Linked DNA regions of Mus musculus: regions 1, 3, 4 and 5 are each reported to be linked to region 2. Evidence: microRNA targets listed by miRTarBase, many of them from high-throughput screens and not tested one by one. Region 2 holds a microRNA gene; each other region holds the end of a gene's coding sequence.
The links. Region 2 holds the annotated microRNA mmu-miR-1930-5p (ACCUCCAUAGUACCUGCAGCGU, at 2,253-2,274, opposite strand). A microRNA usually pairs through its seed, bases 2 to 8, with sites in the 3' UTR of a target mRNA and lowers its output. Matches are read on the target gene's strand: a 7mer-m8 pairs with bases 2 to 8, a 7mer-A1 pairs with bases 2 to 7 and ends in A, and an 8mer does both.

Region 1: the mRNA of Impg2 is a reported target of mmu-miR-1930-5p. Seed matches in the 3' UTR shown: 7mer-A1 at 608-614 and 7mer-A1 at 1,700-1,706.
Region 3: miRTarBase lists Syn2 as a target of mmu-miR-1930-5p. The part of its 3' UTR that is shown has no 7-base or 8-base seed match.
Region 4: the mRNA of St3gal2 is a reported target of mmu-miR-1930-5p. Seed matches in the 3' UTR shown: 7mer-A1 at 1,990-1,996.
Region 5: the mRNA of Sh2d4a is a reported target of mmu-miR-1930-5p. Seed matches in the 3' UTR shown: 7mer-A1 at 2,760-2,766.

The regions. Positions count from the first base shown.
Region 1 is chr16:56,270,221-56,274,341 of GRCm38, forward strand. It overlaps Impg2 (interphotoreceptor matrix proteoglycan 2), which reads left to right. Exons shown (of 20, transcript NM_174876.3): 20 at 560-3,533. The coding sequence ends at 572. Among named protein-coding and RNA genes, the nearest start is that of Impg2, 68 kb to the left of the region's middle.
Region 2 is chr10:77,639,389-77,643,509 of GRCm38, reverse strand. Mir1930 (microRNA 1930) reads right to left here and starts at 2,286; the gene lies at 2,203-2,286. Ube2g2 (ubiquitin-conjugating enzyme E2G 2) reads right to left here. Exons shown (of 6, transcript NM_019803.3): 4 at 1,932-2,050; 5 at 1-41.
Region 3 is chr6:115,280,897-115,285,017 of GRCm38, forward strand. It overlaps Syn2 (synapsin II), which reads left to right. Exons shown (of 13, transcript NM_001111015.1): 13 at 192-1,730. The coding sequence ends at 327. Among named protein-coding and RNA genes, the nearest start is that of Timp4, 31 kb to the left of the region's middle.
Region 4 is chr8:110,969,566-110,973,678 of GRCm38, forward strand. St3gal2 (ST3 beta-galactoside alpha-2,3-sialyltransferase 2) reads left to right here. Exons shown (of 7, transcript NM_009179.3): 6 at 1-98; 7 at 537-2,932. The coding sequence ends at 710. Among named protein-coding and RNA genes, the nearest start is that of Gm51551, 18 kb to the right of the region's middle.
Region 5 is chr8:68,346,112-68,350,232 of GRCm38, reverse strand. Sh2d4a (SH2 domain containing 4A) reads right to left here. Exons shown (of 9, transcript NM_028182.1): 8 at 4,060-4,121; 9 at 2,529-3,579. The coding sequence ends at 3,487. Among named protein-coding and RNA genes, the nearest start is that of 1700125H03Rik, 20 kb to the left of the region's middle.

The DNA of each region.
Region 1 (4,121 bases), not on the chromosome of region 2:
GTAGCTCAGCTCAGTGGTACAGAAACAGAAAAAAGCATGAAGATGCTGGGTTTTGGGGCTGCTGTGAAGAAGGGGTTTGGTGGGGGTAGAAGGGGATAAGAGGGGTGTGTGTGTGTGTGTGTGTGTGTGTGTGTGAGAGAGAGAGAGAGAGAGAGAGAGAGAGAGAGAGAGAGAGAGAATGATTAAAACACATTACACAGTGAATGAAATTGTTAAAGATTAAAAAAAAGGAAACTCAGTGTAGGTCACTGGGAGCAGGCAGCCTTGAAAACATTCAGGCACATGATCAAAACAGGGGTTGCAGTCTCCACTTAGGAGTTTCTAGCTACTAAAAAGCTCCACAATATGTTAATGGGTTTAATTTAGGATTCAGTAAAAACATGTGGCATTTGTAGGGGATTAAAAAATTTTAAAAGAGTATAAAGAATCTGTAAAGAAAACTAAAGAAAACTTACATGTGGGTGACTTTGGCATGCAGCTTGGTTATGCACTATGCTACAAATGTATTTGACTACATCATTGCTTTCCCAGCTAATTGCCCTTTATTTTCTCATGGTAGGGAGGAGCTTTAACTTAAATGCCTGATTCTTGACACCAATCAGAAGCTTGGAGGAGATGGAGAAGGCTTGTTCTCTCTGCTGTTTAACTAATCCAGAAGAAGAGTTTGTATTGAAGAATAAATAAGGAAACATGGGACGCACTTCTCATTCCAACACTGCAGCTTAATTTTTTGGAATGGAGCAAAAAAAAAATAAGTGATGTATTTTATTTCTACATTAAGAGATGTGTCAAAAGAAAATTAAAGTGGTGTGAACTCTGATTTTGTAACATATTCTAAAAGCAAACAAATAAAACAGAACCAAACCAAAAGCTTAAAGCCAGACCTTGGAGTTGGGGCTGCAGTGCCTCTGACTCTGACTTTTTGAGAGCATCTCTAAGAACTATGGCCCAGGCTTTCTAGTAAGAACATAAAGTGAGACTAATGAGTAAAGCTTAGAATGCGACTGTTTTGTGACATACTTGTTAAAGTCGAATGAGATAGAGGAAGCTTTGAAGTAATTTTAATATAGTTTAAACTCAAACACTCATCTAAATAAAAATTAGGCTTTTGGAACAGATTGCTGAGTCAGGCAATCTTTAGGTGCAGTATATTTTGTTTATGTTTGATGCTTGCTTCTATCTGTTCTTGAGCTTCTTGAGCCCATAGATCAAGACTACAATGCTCTTAAATTAGTTATGTCAATATTTGCCACAGTTTGGTCCTCAATTAGGCACCCTTAAGAGGAAGCAAATTGAGGAATTATTTTCATCAGCTTGGCTTGTGGACATACCAGTGGGCCTTTTTCTTGATTATTAATTGATGTAGAAAGGCCCAGCTCACTATGGGTGGTACTATCCTTAGGCAGGGGTTTGGGGAGTTAAGTTGCAAAAGAAAGGTAAAGCCAGCTACAAGAAGCCAGCCAATAAGCACTTTCCTTTGTGGTTTCTTCTTCAAACTCCTGTCTTGGCTTCTCTCTATGGTAGACTATAACCTATAAGCCAAATAAACTCTTTCTTTCTGTCCTAGTTAGGGTTTCCATTGTTGTGACCAAGGCAACTCTTTTAAGGACAACATTTAATCGAGGCTGGCTTGTAGATTGAGGTTCAGTCCATTATCATCAAAGCTGGAAGCATGGCAGCATCCAGGCAGTCAAGGCACTGGAGGAGCTGAGAGTTCTTCATCTTCATCTAAAGGAAGCCAGGAGCAGACTAGCTTTCAGGCAGCTAGGATGAGGGTCTTAAAACACATGCCCACAGTGACACACCTACTCTAACAAGGCCACACCTACTCCAACAAGGCCATACTTTCAAATAGTGCCACTCCCTGGGCCAAACATATTTACACCACCATACCTTCTCAAAGGTGCTTTTGCTTAGTGATAACAGAGAAAGCAAATGATTATAATACCCTATTCTTTAAGCTTTCAGGAATAGTACCCATGCGTGAAGTTTTCATGGTTTCTATTTTTCTTATGCAAAAGTAATTATGGGGCTGTAAGGGTCTGAGTGTTAGGTAAATACCAGGACAGACCCTCTGGTTTTTAGATGGGCTGACAGGCAAAGTTATTACTTAGATATGTTCCCTGACTGCTTCTGAGGTAGGACAGTGTAGTGGACAATTCTAGGACCTACTGTAGTTCCTGGTGTAGGAATTTTGAAAACAGCACATACCTACCTCACATAATGTCAGTGATATCATTTGTTGCTTCTTTGTCTAAAGCTTGTTGTCTAGGTGAAATCCCACCTACCATAACAGGACATTTTTAAAATTGTGAATCTATACTTTATAAATAGAAGTTAAAAATGGAAGTTTTTCTCTTTTTACCTATGGTTATTTTGAATGGATAATTTGGGTGATAGGCTGTAAAGGCGAATTAATCATGATGAATAGTTTAAAGATACATAGGCACTAGATGATTGTTAATTCAAGCTATTTCTGAGGACACCTTCATGTTTGCAACAAATCTCTTGAAGTTCATTAGTTATTTCAGACCAAGTATAAAATGGCAGCAGGATAAAATACCTGGTTCATTTATTTTTCTTAAATCAGGGACTGTAAGTTTCATAGTTATGAGGTCAGCAAAAACTGGAGTTGGAAGAATAGACAACTTACTTAGAAGAAAACAGTGATTTAGGAGACTAACTTACATTTATTAAATTGGGAAGTTTTAGCCAAGAAAAATGTGGGTCAGTTTCCCCCCACCCTCTCAAATGTTTCCAATGATTCCAAGTAAAGATAGGTGGGGCCAGCCTTCATTAGTAACCCAGCTGCAGTGAATCAGGATTCTCGATCATTCTATTCCCTAGTGTGTGATCAATGAAGAAAAATGATGTAAAGGTTACAGTCCTTAAACTGAGAGCATTGTGTACGCAAAGTACCCTGCCCAGAGGTGGGGAGATGGGAGGATATTATAACATAGTTGGTGATGTAAAAAAAAAATTACCTGGAAATTTCTTTGATTCATGCATTTTGTAATGTGTAGACTGTTCTAATAAGTCAACAAGAGACAAGTGAAGCCACTCCCCACTGGATACTAAGCCACTGACTAAAACACGTCTCTCAACTACATAGTTACTATTACAGCTCAGGCCAAATGATTAGTAATCCTGATTTTTTCTCTTGTATTTAATTAATTAAGGGCTTAATTGGGGGAAAAATCATGGTATAAGAGACTACATGTAAAAAAAAAGAGACTACATGTATAAATATATGTCTGGACTACTTGATGATTCCTAAGCAGTAATGTATATATCCTAATATATACTTAATATGGAGTATGGTTAATGGCATGCTATTCTTTTTTATTTAATTTATGGCAGTTTATCCAATGTGGGGTCAAACAAAGTCAATTTACTATACTACTCTCTTGAACATTTCTAGTCATAATATTAGTTGATTAGAAATACAAATTTAAGTCTTTATGTATGTATAAGGATCCTTCGATTCACATGCATACTGTGATGTATCCATTAGTAATAAACATGTCTTTCAAGAACTTGCCTTTTGCTTGTCAGTTAGAAAAACAATCCCATCTCTTAGCAACAGTTGAATCACAAGCACCATTCAAAGATACCTGTGTGTGAACGTTGTGTGGAGATGAAAATGATTCTTTGATCTTAGTGGAGTGAGGATTTAGGAGAATCAGACATGGGTGAAGATGGAGCCCAGTTGCTGTCTGAGTTGTGTTGATAGTTAATGACACTGAGATGGGTGGTGATTTGACTTCTGTTGAGTTTTATTAAACACTTTCAGTTTGCCCTCCTATCCTTAACACATCAACAGAATGAAGAGTGGTGAGTGGCTAAGGAGAGATTAGGTGGGCTGGCTAGATGCCAGTCTTTCAAGGAGAGGAGCAGTTGGTGACCTGTTTAAAGAGAACAGGAGATGCGAATATGGCCACATGGGAGAGGCAGGGGGAAATCAACAGTTAAAACAGTGTGCTATGTGTTGGCATTCAGTAGCCTCAGTGAGCAGGCTTTTCCTCCTTTGTCTTTGCATCATAGTGCCTTGCTGGTCTGAGGACATGAGAATATTTTAAATAAATGCTAGAAAAAGGGAAGGAAGGTGATTGTGATTACAG
Region 2 (4,121 bases):
AGCATGCAGGATGGAGATGCAGACTCTGCCATCAGGATAGACTGCAAAGATCATTGACAGTGTCACTGTGTGGGGAAGCTCCAGACAGAGGCCCAACTGTCCGCACAGCTGAGACAGGAGTTTCCTGTTGGCACAGATCCCAGATGCCTGCCAGCCACAGGCCAACCTGTCGTGGACTGATCAGGTCCTGTGGTCACGGACAAGGGGGCTTGGGACGAGGTCTGTCTAACACAGACCAGTTGCAACTGAATTCTACCTTATTACATATTTCTCTAGGCATTATCACTAAAAGGAGGAAGTGAAAGATGTATGGACAAATATTCCAAACTCAAGTTCCCAGCGAGTAAGATCCCTCACGGGGCCCTGCAGAGCAGGTGTTTAGACATCCCTAACTCAGGTGGCAGAGCCACCCCCACCACCGAAGTCCATGTCCGTGTAGCTAGAGCAGAAGCAAGACAACTGAACTCCTTAGGTGCGGAGAAAGGGGGGGCATGTGCACCAGAGCCACCCAGCTCAAAATTATTTTTACAAAATACAAAGACATCCATTTGGGCTGGAGAGGCAGCTCGGCCAGAGTTCAATTCCCAGCACCCACACGATGGCTCAGAATCATCCTTAACTCCAACTCAGGGGATCTGACTCAGTCTTCTGGCCTCTGTCTGTTATATAAAGACACACTTGCAGGCAAAAAACCCATACACATAAAATAAAATTGATATATACATATAAAAAAAACCCTGGTGTCAAATAAGTAAATGTTTTATTTTTACAAAATAGAATATCCTACTTGAATTTCAGCTCCATAGGCAAAAAGATCAGGATTATCAGTGGCAATGAAAAACATTTATAATGGGCGGTGGTGGTGCACACCTTTAATCCCAGCACTTGGGAGGCAGAGGCAGGCAAATTTCTGAGTTCGAGGCCAGCCTGGTCTACAGAGTGAGTTCCAGAATAGCCAAGGCTACATAGAAAAACCCTGTCTCGAAAAACCAAAAATAAATAAATAAATAATAAAAAAATAAAGAAAAAGAAAAACATTTATAAAAAGAAACATTATCCTAAATGCCATCATTGAAAATACACCACCACTGTCCATTTCTCTTAGGTAAGTTTGGCTTGGGCAAACGTGCATGGAAGTCAGCACTTGGGAGACAGACAGGAAGATCAGGAGTTCAAGGCCATCCTGAGTAATTTAAACTCTCCATCAAACCTCTCTTATGTATAATAGCTACTAGTAAAAGGAAGAAAGAAACCCCTACTCCCAATCAGGGCATAGTCGCGGACAGTATTATGGTCCCTTCCAGGCAGAGATGGAACTCCAGAGTACCAGTGAGTCCTCACCTACTTCCCACTCAACACAGCACAAGTGCTCCATTCCAAGCCTGAGTGACAGGAACTGTTTGTCTAGGAATTCCTAACATGTCCTCGGTGCCTACATGCAGGCTAACTACAGTGTGCCCTCTGCTCTGCGGTAGGACCACTGGGCTGTTTTGCTGTGTACATGTCTGTGTACGACAGCCTGGCTCCAGAGAGGCGAGCAGAGGGACCAGATTCCCAGGAGCCTCAGGTGTGAGCAACAATGTGGGTGCTGGGTCCTCTGCAAGAGCAGCAAGTGCTCTAAACCACTAAGCCACCTCTCTAGCCCAACTCCAAATGTCCGCCATTAAAATGACACTGTGACAAAGGCCAATGTAGGACACAAAGCACTCACGGCCTCAAAATTCTAGTAAGCCCATTAACACAGTGTTAAGTGTGTGCATTTCCCCTCTACATTAAGCTGACCTCAAAGCGGCAGTCCTGGTGCTCACACCGTAACTCACTGGTCACAGCTTAGAGTTGAGAGCCCTGTGCCTGCAGGCCCTCCCTGCCGTTCTTAATTAACAGTGTGGCTGGCACTCTGTTGCCTGTCAACCTCATTTAGACACACTTACTGTTGGGATGGAACATCTCACAGGTGAATCTCATCTTCGGAGGGCTCAAGGGGTAGTCAAGTGGGAAACTCAGGATGGCGGGAAAAACACCAAACTCAAAACAAGTGTCTTCAGGGCCCCTGAAAATCAGGAAAGAGACACATTTGCAATGCCAGCCACAACTCAGATGTGCAAGAGGGATACTACCACGGCCTAAAATGGTGCATGAACAATCTAAAGGACTGCTGCTTTCTCTCCCTGGAGAGTCCATCTCAGTCCTTTTCAGTCTGAGGCACGAACACAGCCACAGCCACAGTAACTGCACCATAGAGAAAGTCAAGCACGCTGCAGGTACTATGGAGGTGACCGTGGGCATGTGGTCCAGCTCCTATGAGGACTCAAGGTGTCAATTCTGGCAGACGGTAATCAAGAAGACTATGCACACAGATGAGGAGCTACGGAATATAGATCAAAGGACATTTTGAATTTTCAATTATGTCTAAGGTGTGACTTTTAGAACGGATAGGGCACACATGTGATCCTCAACTCATGCTCAATGCACAAGCAGCCTAAGGCCACAGCAGTCCCACCAGACCCTAAGACTCCAATCTGCACCATCCATGTCTTCTGTGTAAATAACAGAAATGGGCCAAGCCATCACAGAAGTCCTGCTCAAGTCCTAGAGACGGGGATGCTGACTGAGACCTGGCGGCAGGGACCTAGGAATGGGTGGGATGCTGCCAGACACCCACCCCTCCAGTCCAAACCTTACTAATGTGACCCACGTCAGCAGTTCAGGAGACCGTGGACACTGTTCACTATAAAAAGTCAGTAGGGCAGGAATCCTGGCTATAAGCTTCCTGCATTAGCATGGGTGAGATCATCTTGCAACAGCCAGCACAGCAGTAAAAACTGGCCCTGCACCACTCACACTGCCTGAGAGACCCAGGCCCCGCATCAACAGCAAAGTAGGCAGGGAGGCACACCTGACTCAACAGCCACACTGTCGAGGCAGGAACAGGAGGATCTAAAGTTGGAGACCAGCATAAGCAGCATAGAAAAAAATTTAAAAATTAAAATATATGTTTAAAAAATAAAGAACTCTGCTTCCCTGTCTAAGCAGATCTAAAACAGAAAGACCTTCCCACAGGATTTCCACAGACAGGATCCATGTTAGATCCACAGTTCCACAGAGATTGAAGATACCAAATGGAGAGGAAATAAGATATTGATTCAAAAGTCATCTTTACTTACTAGAAAAGACTTTCTAAACATACAAACTTATCTGGATGTAGTGAAGCCTAGTGTCTAGAGCAACCTGGTCTACACAAGATAAAATTGTCTCAAAACAAAACCAAAACCCAAGGCGAGCCAGGACGGGAGGGTGGCTCAGCTGTTGAGAAGGCACCCACTACTCTGCAGGGGACTTGAGTCTGAGTCTCAGCACTACAGTGGAGAGTTTGTAACCACTTTGGCTCTGGCTTCAGGAGGCTCCAACTCTGCTGGCAGCTGCGGGCACTTGCACTTAAGAGACACATGTATACACCCATACAGATGCACATATACATTTAAGAAATACAAAATAACTCTGGGGGAAAAGCAGCCCTGGCTGAGGTAAACAGCCGAGTCTGCAAAGTGCTCAAGAATCAGGACTCAACCCCAGGATCACATGTACACAGGCAGGGCAGCCACACTGGATTCTGACCCAGATACTGGGGAGGTGGAGCCAGGGGGGGAAATCACCTTGGCTCACTAGTCAGCCAGCCTCACCAAATCAGCAAACCCCAGGCCACTTGAGAGACCTCACCCCAAAAATCAAGCTAGACAGCTGTCCTGAGGCTGATGCCCCCACATACATGCATGTTGCACACACACACATGTACATGTATACGCACGCAACTCACACACAGATGAAATATCTCCATAAAAAAAAACAGCACTATAGCTGGGCAGTGGTGGCACACGTCTTTAATCCTAGCATTTGGGAAGTAGAGGCAGGCGGATTTCTGAGTTCAAGGCCAGCCTGTTCTACAGAGTGAGTTCCAGGGTAGCCAGGACTACACAGAGAAAACCTGTCTCACCCCCCCCACTCAAAAAACAAAAAACAAAAAAACAAAAACAAAAACAAAAAACAAACTGGCACTACAAATCTGCTTCAAGTTTTGATAGGTTATTTTAGAACAGTGATATACATACAGATCTGTAAAATAC
Region 3 (4,121 bases), not on the chromosome of region 2:
CTGAAGGTGAGGAAGGAGGAAGTAGTGAAGGACTTCCCAGTGCCTAGTGCAGCCCTCCCCACCACCTCCTGCTACCCTGTTCTCCCTGGGGAGGGGATGGGGAGTACTTGTTGTAATACCCTCATGTCACAGCCCTTCACTGCCTCACTAGAAACACCCTCCTCACCTTCTCTCTGGTTTTTATCTTCAAGCAAGTCGCAGTCCCTGACAAATGCGTTCAGCTTCTCTGAGTCCTCCTTCTTCCGGTCTTCAGCCAATGAAGATGAAGCCAAAGCGGAGACCATCCGGAGCTTGAGGAAGTCCTTTGCCAGCCTCTTTTCAGATTAGCTCTTCAGATACACGAGGGCATCCGGCCCAACCAGGAAAGGCATCTAAGACATTCACCAACAGCAGTCTGCCATGTTTGGTGGCGATGTCCCATGACTTGACATGTGTGGCCCCTTCCTCTGTTCCTTTGTGCTCAGTAATTTGTGCAGCCCAGAAATGACCATGTGATAGTCTCAGGGCAGGTACCTACCCTGAGAAAGGCCTGACAGGAGAGGAAAGGGCTCTTTCCCTGTAGTCTTTAAGAGCTTTATTCTGAAGTCATCATTGCTGTGAATTTAGTGGCCTTATTGTGACAGAGCCATCGTGTCTTACTCTTCCCTGTGAAGCCAGGATCTCTGTAACGTAGGACTCCTGGCAGCTTAGCCCAGCTCGGAAACAGAGCTCAGCATGTCCTAGTAGTCAGTGCTACCTGTGGGAAGTATGTTCTTACCTTCCAAGTACTGTTGGCTCTAAGTTTTAGGAACTTCTCCCAAAGCTGGATCTCCTGTGGTCCCTGTTGAAAGCACACTCGCCTGACCCTGCACTCCCCTAGACTGCTGTGGAGGTGAAGTTCCTTGTGTCTGTTGAAACAAGAGAACAAGGCCTCCCCGCACTGTCTCCTCTCTCCCCTCTGGAGAGCAGTTCTGTTGTGTGAGCAGCAGTTACCTTTACCTTTCAGAGCTGTACTGTAGAGGAGAATGCATGCCGCTATAACAGCAGTCCACCAACCTTTGTGTTCCTCACCTTATGAATGTCAAGACCTTGGTGTAATAAAAGCAGCAGCTTTAACCAGCATTTGATTCAGCCCTGAGGTTCCCCCATCTAAGATGAGAGCATACGTGGGCATGCAGGTGTGTTTGTGACTAGGTAGTTAAAAGTCCAGGAGGGTAAAGTTGCCGATGCCGTGTGTGTGCATGTGATGGCAGGTGCGCACGTCTGTGTTAAGAATGTGTCTGTACCTTGAATATCACATCCTGATGCTCCCAACAAGCTCCCCAGTGGATCTGTCTCTTCTAGAACTGTTTGACTGCCAACAGCTTGGCATTTCTACCCATTTGATTCAATTCACAGACTCCAATATTCACAACACCCCTGCCTGTATATCAACCAAGTTAGACCCATCTTCCCATCTTTCATCAAGATTCTCAGCTAAAGCCCACAAGGTACAGCCAACAAAAGAAGCAACCCGTTCTGATGAATTTGGTCCTACAGCTGTCGTACGTAGTTCAGGCATCCTAAAGGCCTGCGGCTGGGTGGGCTCTGAGGGATTTTACTCCGACAACTTCTTCATGGTTCTCTGAGGATAAGTTCCACATTTGCATATGTTTGAGGAAAAACAGTCAGTGTGTAAACATCTTAGCTATGTAATTCCCTGCGTGTGATAGATACCATGTGATATAAACTCAACAAGTCAACACCCCTTGAAATGTCACTGTCTGACACCAATTTCTGTCTCTGCTCATGGTCATGAGCAGGGATTCCAGGAGGGCAGAGAATGAATTTCTCTGGTACCAGGTCTCTTTTCTGAGTCACATTTATCCTGTGTTTTTAGGGTCTGAGGACTGAGACAGGTAAGGGGAGAAGTAGGATCCCCACAATCTCCCATTGAATGGCACCTGATGAGTGCTATCACTCCATCCTTCCTTGCACAGTACACACACCTACAGAGAGCTAAACGAAGGGCAATAGGGAGAATCAATCAATCTGCCTCCCCTCTCTTTCTGCTGAGGTTGGAACCCAGGGTCTCAGAGTCTCACTCATGCGAGGCAAACACTATACCTCTGCCTGCCCAGGCCTGCATATGCATTCTGTTTTTATACCTACTTGTGTGTCTTTATAAGGAAAGTGAAGATTCGAAGAATGACAACTTGAAGATGTGACACTACAAAGGGGTCTGGTGTAAAGCTAGTGAACTGTGGGAAAGGAATTAGGATGCACATGGGAAAATGGTGAAGGAGACGGTCACACATCTTAAGATTTTGTTTGTATAAACGCATTTCCATGTTAATCTCTAGTCTCTGGTTGTAAAAATGTTCTTATTGTATAGGTTGGTGAGGGAACATCTTCTTCATGAGAGTTTTAGGTCCTGTTTCAGGCACAAAGGGAGAGCAGAGAACTCCCCCTGTACCTCTCAGTGCCCACTGCCTTTGGCTCAAAATAATCAGCGTGCCCAGCGTGGCATATTTTGAGGTAGCCTGTTCTGAAGCTCTTTACTGACAAGAGTCTTCCACTTATCCATGCTTCTCTCCCTCTGGTTCCAAATACACCGCAACACAACGTGCTTCTTTAGTGACATGGATTGAGCGTTTACCCTATGTGTAGACGTCGTGATGGAGTCAAAGACATGTTTACTAACATATCCAGAGCTTACTAAGCATAATTCTAAGCACTTAAAGCAACTTATTGATCTCCTATGGGATAAGTACTATTATAATTTTACACATGAAGAAATTGAAGAAAACCCCAATTACTTGTTTAAGGTTATCCAGTTGGTCAAGTTGTACAAGTAAGATTTAAACCCAAATAATTGGGGGTCAGAATATGGTTCCTCAGGTAAAGTACCTGCTGCACAAGTATGAAGAACAAAGTTTGGATCCTCAGACTCACCGAGAAAACAGCCAGGTGGGTATGGGAGCCTGTCTGTAAACCTAGTGTGTGGGAGGCACAGACAGGGAGTCTCCGGAGCAAACTACTAGCTGAGACAGTGAGTTCTACATTCAGCCAGAGACCCAGTCTCAAACTAGAAGGTGGTGAGCAATCAAGGACATCTAGAGTCAACCTCAGACTTCCACGTGTGTTCACACACATGTGAATGCACACTACAGTGAGCAAGCCAAGCCACAGTACAGTAGAACACATGCCCCTCATCACTTTGCTGTATTTTATTTAATCTTGCATGGTCTATAAGAAATCATTTTCTCAAATTTTCATAGTGTGATCATATAATACAGTATACACAAACTTGGCTGGATGAGAGCTTGGGGGACAAATTACCAGTGTTGACCCCTTGGCTTAAAACTATGAGTAACATGCACTGTGGGTCTTATTCTGATCAAATATAATTCTGACTCCTAAAATGTTACTCATTCTTCCACATGTGATGTCAAACCCAAACCACAAGTAGCTTATTTAGAAAATGAGTCACCCGGGAGGGACTGTTGGGGTGACAGAAAGGGAAGGCGTTTACCATAGTCATGCAGTACCCTAGTCCAAGGAACACAGGGATTCTACCTAGACTCTAGTAATCTGGACCAGGGGTGGGGCCATTGAGAAGTAAACCTCTTGGTACTTAATTAAGATGGTTCCAGAGACTTGGAAAGTAGTACCTCACAATAGTCAAACACCCAGTGAGTAGTGTGAAAAAACTTGGGCCAAAAGCTTTTGGTCTGTAGGCCAACTCTGCCTGTCTTGCAGATCAGATCTACTCTAGCTTATGGGGCTTCCTCTGACAGTTCTCAGCCCAGATAAGTAAACAGAAAGATTCATCTGTCTTCACGGGGCTTCCCATCTCCTGGATCAAAGTGAATAAATTCTGTCCATTATGTACTTGTTGATAATTCTTTATTGTGTATTTACTAAGCTCAACAAATTTCATGGGAAGATCATAAAACTGAGCTAACGAAGGTTTCTGCACTCACAAAGTCCACAGCCAATAGGAGAGATGTGTACTGTCTTAAGGAATGCAGTCACCGTGTCAGCTTGGAAAACTCAGCTTGATAGTTATCAATGAGAATGTAGGAAAACTCTACACATACACATCGCTAGTGGGAGCCTGTATGGGCACTACCACTGTGGGGGATCATTTCCAACATCCA
Region 4 (4,113 bases), not on the chromosome of region 2:
TCTTCAAGTACATTCACGACAGGTGGACCGAGCACCACGGGCGCTACCCTTCCACAGGAATGCTGGTGCTCTTCTTTGCACTACATGTGTGTGATGAGGTAGGCAGTCGGTGTTGTCTAGAGCAGAATTAGGAGAACCATAAACAGAGGAAACAGCCCTTTCCCCATCTTAGCTGTGGTTCCCGGGAAGTAGTTTTTGTAAACAGAAACCATGTTTTTTCATATCTGTTATTCCTATAAACAATATTTTTGCATTTCCCATCGTCATTACCTTTTAAGATTTACTAACAAAACTACTTCATTTAAAAGGCACATTTTTAGCAGGGTCATGGTGGCACCTGTAATCAGATACGGAGAGTTTGAGACAGGAGCAGCGTTTGAGGCCAACCTGGGCTACATAAGACCCAGTCGTGAAAAAGCGAAACACAAATGAGAAAGAGACAGAAGTCCCCTCTGAGTCAGTGCCCTTATGTCAGGCCTGGGTGTCCCCAACCACGCCCCCGACTCCCAGTGACCCCTGTGCCACCCTCCTCACAGGTGAACGTGTATGGGTTCGGGGCCGACAGTCGAGGCAACTGGCACCACTACTGGGAGAACAACCGGTACGCGGGCGAGTTCCGGAAGACAGGCGTGCATGACGCCGACTTCGAAGCCCACATCATCGACATGCTGGCCAAGGCCAGCAAGATCGAGGTCTACCGAGGGAACTGAGCGGCCCTGAGCGCCTTCAGAACCAGTCACTTCTGGGTCCGGCAAGCGCCGGTTGCAGCCCACCAATCAGACTGCGCCGTCCCCAGCAACCAATCAGTGCTGCAGTTGGGAGGAGCTTCTTTCTTAGCCAATCACGCAACTCAAGGAGAATTTCCGGCGCCGCCGTCTCCACCAATCATGGCCTTGGGAGGCGGCGGGCCTCGACCCCCTCCCCTAAACCTGCTTTGGATAAGAATTTTGATGCTTTTTAAGAGGCGGGTCTGGGGCTGGGCAGGAGCGCCTTGAACTGCTCATTTCCAGCTTAGGCCGGGTGGGTGAGTGAAGCCATCCAAAGAAATGTGGTTCCGGTGAGACACTCTCCAGGGCTTTCCGTGGCGCACCAGGTAGTAGGGGGTTGAATTCACCCCCTGTTGGGTTGATCTCCCTAGGGCCTCACTAGTGTCAGGAACGGGTAGGAAGCTTCACCGGGTCACATGCAAGGTGCTTCTCTCACATGTGCCCTCACTCCTGTCTCCTACCACCTTCTCAGCGTCTGTCCTTAGGTCCTGGGCCTCCTCTCCAGCTCACCTGTTGATTCGGAGACAAAGTGAGACCACCCTGACTCGGCTGCTTTTGCTCTCCCACACGTGACCCGTGTCTTTAGCCCTAAGGCGCGAGAGAGCAACACGGTTGGACAGTTGGCTGGAAAGGAGATCCCTGAGCATGTACCGTTTTCTTTCATTGTCACCCCAAAGAGGAGCAGGCAGCCTCTTGCTTGGGGGTAGGATTTGCTTTGGACTCATGCTTTAGTTACCCTCAAGCTGCCAGGGATGGCGATCCAACCAAGATTGCTTGACAATTGTTTGCGGGGCCTCGCGCAGATGGCTCGGAGCTTTGCTGGGGAGGAGCGGATTGGTGGCTGCCCTGCATGCCTCCTCCTGTCCGCACCTTTACCCTGCTTACTCGCCTGTTCTAACCTACTCTCCAGCTCCAGAAGGGCCGCTCAGTCAAGAATCAGGGGTTACAACTGGAAGCTACTTGCATGACTTGGTCACAGTTGAGGTTCACTGGGAGAAAGGGCTTCAGTGAATGTCTCAGGCCGCAGAAAACACGTCCCTGCTGCAGCGTCCACATAAATATTTCCCATTCTTAATGAGTTCACATTACCAAGCAGCCTGGTTGGGGGACAGTCACACATAAGGGAGAGTGTTAAGAGGTTTGGGATGAGGCAACAACCCTAAAAACTAATACATGGAGAACTTTGCTCGAGTCTGTTCCTTCCCAGTTTCAAAAGCACGGGTGGAGGAAAAAAAAAAAGGGAGGGGCGTATAGCAGAACCTCTCAGGGCTCGAACCATCGCACATAGTCACCGTTCCAGTTTTTGCCTGTCTCATCTCTGCTCTCAAGCTGCTGTGATGAGAAACGGGAAAGCAATGCAATTATGCCAAACAGTATTGAGAAGAGTAATTTATTTTTCTTCCCTTTGTTTTGTTTAAATCATGAATCCCCATTCTAGAAAAGGTAGGTCCCAGAATCTACATCTTTTTCTTCTAGAGTTATTTAAACATTCAACTTTCCCTTCCGTTTCTTTCCCTGAATTAAAAAGAACAAAGCCCATAGAGTCACTCATCTGTTCTGAACTGCACCATCCTAGGTGTCTAAGGAGGTAAGGGTGTTTGGGAGAACAACACAACTCTGATACCCTCTTACGGCTGAGGAGTCTAGTTCATGGGCTCTGTTCACTGAAGTCCCCCCTAAGGACTCTGAGTATTATGGTTTAAAAAAAAAAATCAACTTATTATGTCAGGCATGGTGGCATGTGCCCTTAATCCTAGCAGTTGAGAGGCTGAGGGGCAGGAAAAGAAGTTAAAGGCTAGCCTCAGCTACATGGTAACTTTCAAACTAACCTGGGCTACATGAGACCTTTCTTAAGGGGGAAAAAAAGGAGCAAAAAATCTCTAGTGAGTTCTCTCACGAGTTCTGACATTTTTCTGCTTAGCCCAATCGTGCTGTGTGGCCCACAGCTTGTTGCCAGTACAAAGTGCTATGCAAAGGAAGAGTTCTCTGGGAGAGCTGCGGAGGGCAGATAGTGCCTCTCTGAGTTTTGCCTGTCACTAAGGATAAATGCTTAAACTTCAGTAGGGTAACTGGAAAACAGGGGGGAATGTTGGGTCTGCACCTTAAACTACTCACTAAAATAGGTCGTATGGATCTTAGAACTAAATTAAAAAAAAAAAAAAACCAAACCCACAGGTAGTAAGTAGTACTTCTTGTCTTTTCAAGACAAGGTTTCTCTGTGTAGCCCAGGCTGGTCTGGAACTCAGAAATCCTCCTGCCTCTGCCTCCCAAGTGTCGGGACTACAGGTGTGCATCATCACAGTACAGATGGATTACCTTCCCCCACCCCAGCTGCTGTGATTCATCCCTGCAGTCTTAGCGAGGCTGAGGAGGTACACTAAACTAGTGTTGATTTTCTGAGAGAGCAGCTGTCTTGTACCTATGCTCTGTAGACCAGGCTGGTCTCAAATTCCTAGGAGATCCATCAGCTCTGCCTCGTGGGTTCCAGGGTATATGCTATTTAACAAAAAAAACTGACAGACATCAGATACATAAGTTTTGTCCTCTGGTCGTTTAACTCTTCTGTGATTATGGTTTCTGAGACTGGGGCAGGGCTGTTCTGTTAAAATAGATAGGAGACCAATGTGGAAGGCAGCATGTAGAGTTTTATGTTCATAAAACCTATCAGGATTGCACGAGGGTAGCTGGGTAGAAACAGCAATGGTCTGGGATGAGCTGTTTTTACTCCATTCTTAGACCAGAGATGGCCTGCCATGTGGCTTTAATTTTGCTTTTTTGAGACAGGGTTTCGCTTTGCAGACTAGGCTGGCCTCAAAACCAGAGGCCTTTCTGCCTTTGCTCTGAAAGTGCTGGAGTGTGCCATCCCACCCCCTCCCTTTTTCTTTTTCTTAGAGATTTATTTATATGTAGGTACACTGTAACTGTCATCAGACACACCAGAAGAGGGTATGTCATTACAGATGGTGGTGAGCCACCATGTGGTTGCTGGGAATTGAACTCAGGACCTTCAGAAGAGCAGTCACTGCTCTTAACCATTTAAAAGGGAGGGGGGCTGGGGCCATCTCAGTAGCCCCCACCCCCCTCCCTTTTAAAACTTTACATGTGTTGGTGTTTTGCCTGCATGTGTCAGATCCCCTGAAACTGAAGTTACAGTTCTGGGCTGCCATGTGAGTGCTGGGACTTGACCCCAGACCCTCTGGAAGAGCAACTACTGGTGTCAGGCACTGAGCTCTCTCCAGCCCTTTCTGCCTTGTTTTTAAGAGATGTTCACTTTCAGTGTCACCATTTAGGTGAGTGCAGGTAGTAACTATTGCTCCATCTTGTTTTGTGCCTTCTCACTTCTCTT
Region 5 (4,121 bases), not on the chromosome of region 2:
GGGCTATACAGAGAAACCCTGTCTTGAAAAAAAAAAAAAAAGAAAGAAAGAAAGAAGGAAAGAAAAAGGAAAAGAAAGAGAAAGAAAGAAGGAAAGAAAGAAAGAAAGAAAGAAAGAAAGAAAGGAAGGAAGGAAGAAAGGAAGAAAGAAAGAAAGAGAGAAAGAAAGAAAGAAAGAAAGAAAGAAAGAAAGAAAGAAAGAAAGAAAGAAGCAAACAAACAAGAATCAATGTGGGCAGGGACTAGCACTTGGCTTCAGCCCAACACACAAGTGTCCCTCAGAATTTCAAATATTCCTCCTGGCCATTGTATCACTGAGCACTAGACAGTTTATTCCTCTGCATGTTTAGAACCTGTAAGATAAAACACTACAGAAGTCAAGGGTACTCCTCTTGGTAATATATCAGGTTAACTGGATTGAGATGTTTCTTAATCTTCTTTCAGTCGCTAAACACAGATACATTTGGACACAGCCATAATTATTGCCTACAATACAATTTTAGGCAGAGGATGATGCTGGTATCTCAAATGTCTTCAAAATTATCAGTGATTAAAGGATACTTTTGACTTATTCCACTGAGTAACAGAACGCAGATCTGTATGCTTTCAGAGCTAGAGGAACAATAAAGGTCCTTCAGTTAAAAGACCATTCCTGTGCAGTAAAACTGAGGATTGAATAGTGTGGTGGTTGACTGTGCTTGGCCCATGGTCTTATTGGAATAGGTGTGGTCTTGTTGGAGGAAGTGTGTCACTATGCGGGTGGGCTTTGAGGCTTCTATGCTCAGGCTCTGCCAAATAAGGAATGAGAGCTTCCTCTCTGACTTACTGTGGAGGAAAGTGCCCTTCTGCCAGTGATTCCTGCCATGATGATAATAGACTGCACCTCTGAAACTGTAAGCCAGCCCCAGTAAAGTGTTGTCCTTTATAAGAGTTGCCATCGTCATGATGTCTCTTCACAGAAGTGAAGAAACCCAAACTAAGACGGATAGTGTGATGCTTCATCTTGTCAATTTGATTGGATTTAGGTTCGCTGTGGGAAAACACCTCTGGATATGCTTGTGAAAGTGTTTCCAGAAGGAATTAGCCAAAGAGGGAAACCCTACCCTGAATGTGGGCAATGCTATTCCATGGGCTGGGATCGCAGACTGAATAAAAAGGAGAGAGCTGTCATCTCTCTCTACTTCCTAAATATGGGTTCTATGTGACTAGCTGCCGCACCACCTCCCACGGTCCCTTCCCATGTGATGGACCACGAGTTCACACCATGAGCCAAAGTCAACCCTTCCTTCCTTAAGTTGCTTTTGTCAGGTACTTTTGTCACTGCAGTGAGGAAAGTAACTAACATAGTTAGGTAAAGTGCCTATTCAAAATAATTAGGGAAAAGTGGAGAGAGATGGGAACAGCTCAGAGATTCTGAGCCATGTTACAACAAAGTGAAATGGCAGAGACTCATAGAAATTTAACAATACAATGGAATATTTCAAGAAGCAATTGACTGAGTGCACATTAGCCTCTACTTTGGTACACTGTGTTTGGAATGAGTGAGTCACACAAAGGACAGACTGCAGTGCCATCTACATTAGTTAAAAGACAAAGTAAAAAGAAATGCTTAGCTATGGGCAAAGTAACTTCCTCCCAGGCAAAAGTGACTCACAGATGCCCTCCCTGCTCAGCAGAGGTTGGCCTCCCCTCACTGAGGCTGGTCTAGGAATGGATTTAGAGGTTTTGATTTAAGGATGATGCAGGTAGGAGATTACTTGCTGAATAAATCTGTGTCCCAGGGCTAGCCAGCATTACTCGGGGTCTTATTCCTATATCCTACTTTTATTTCCTCTTGAGGGTGCACACTGTGCAGCAAGAAACAAATCCATGCAACTCGTGCAGGACACATGGTTACATAAACTATTGCACTAGTTTTCTGAGGCTGCTGTAAAAAGTTGCCATCTATTCGGTGATTTCGAGGTTTATTATCTCACATTTCTAAATCCCTGAAGGCTTAAATAAAGATGCAAATGAACAAAGCCATGCTTCCTAATAGAGTCCTAGGGAGAGTCTGGGCCTGGGCCGTACTGCCTTTCATAATCCCCGCCATACCCTGCCCTACACCACTCTACTCTCTGTTTCTGTGGTCCTTTAACCTCCATCCTCATGTTTGTCTTTTTTCTTTATCTTTCTCCCTTATACAGATGCAACTCATTAGATTTGGAGCCTATCTTACTTATCTTTTCTGCACAGATCCTATTTCTCTATCAGTTCATACTCAGATACAGAAGGGTCAGGACTTCATGTATATTTGGTGTGGGACACAATTCATCCCTCAATAGGTGGTATCCAAACCACTCACTTATTCAGTTCTTCTCTTGGAATCAGGACCACACAAGTCCTTACATGGCCACGCACAGTATCTTTTATATTTACTTTCAGATGGGGGGGGGGGGGAGTAGAGAAGAATGAAGAAACAAACCCTAAGATTACTCACGCGTCTTAGTTAGGGTTTCCAATGCTGTGAAGAGACACCATGACCAAGGCAACTCTTTAAAGAAAAACATTTAATTGGGGCTGGCTTACAGCTTCAGAGTTTCAGTCCTTTATAATCAAGGCAGGAGCGCGGCATTTTCCAGACAGGAATGGCAGAGGAGGAGCTGAGAGTTCTGCATCTTCTTCCGAAGGGAACCAGAAGACTGAATCTCTCAGGCAGCTAGGAGGAGGGTCTCAAAGCCCACCCCCACAGTGACACACTTCTTCCAACAAAGCCACACCTCCTCCAACAAGGCCACACCTCCTAATACTACCACTCCCTGTGGGCCAAGCATATTCAAACCATCACACTCAGGGTTACTGTCACAATAAAACCTTTGGTTGGTTGGTTGGTTTTTTTCATATGTGGTAAGTCTCTCATCTCAAGTTTTGAAACTTGTCTTTCAATTTACACTTGGGTCTTTCTCTTCTGTCTTCTATAACCTCACTCCAACAGACACAGAAAGGGTGGTCTTTTGAAGATAATCTCATCCCTCAGTGGGGACATTTTTCCACCATTCTAAAAGCAAGATAAAAATTTATACACACAGAATACTGAGACCTTTGAGTGAATAACAAAAAGGGAGTGTGTAGATCATGAAATTGTTCACTTGTTCTTTTAAAATAACATCTTAATTGCTAAAAAGATTTCAGTGTACCCTTGTCCTTTTTATCTTATATACATCATCATGGTCATATCCTTCAAGGTCCTATCCTTCATATTAGGATGTTGCAAATGTGGGTACCTTCCCCCTTTTCCTTTCAGAATGAGGATGAGAGAGAGGTAACACCCCCTTAAACTGAATCCAGCATTTATGCAGAAGAGAGGTTTCAATGAAGACCTCAGACGTTGTTCACTGTTGGCTCTGTCACAGAGAGATTTTGGCATCACACACAAATGTCCATCTCAGAGGTGTCTGTCCAGAGGGGAAACCAGCTGGAAGTTGGAGGCTGATCTGGATGAGAGTTGTCACTGGAAGAGCTCCAGGTAGTCGGGCAGCTTGTCTTGTTGACCACAGGGGTACAGAAGGAGTTCCTTCCCCAGAGAGGTTATGGGCTCCTCCTGTCAATCAAAGCACAGGGCCATGAGGCAGCTATGTGGTAGACGTTCATGCTGCTCCTTAGGGGAGATCACTCCTCTACCCTGGGTTTATGCATACCTAGATTGGCTTATGACAATACTAAAAGAGATTTCCCTCCTTTCAGTTTCCCTGTCCTACTGAAGCCCAAGTTCTAGCATAGGAACACCCTCAGATATGCTCAGAATATACATCTCTAGTATTCTCAGCTCCCGTGGGATATCTCTGAGTATGCCAGGTGGATATGAGAAAGGAAATACAATTAAAACCCCTTGTTACCAGCAGAAATTATGTGCTACCACCATCCCTTTGCTCAAGGGTACTTGAGCTATATCCCTAGTCAGGCCTTTCTTTGTTATATATTTATTTTCTTTGTTTGTTTCTTTGTTATATATCTATATTCTTTGTTATATATCTATAGGACAATAATTCCTAGTGTGAATTAAACATATGATTGGATTCACCTTGTGATATTCCACCAAATCTGCCAGTGTAGCATGCTGCAGCTGGTCCACACCCAGGAAGC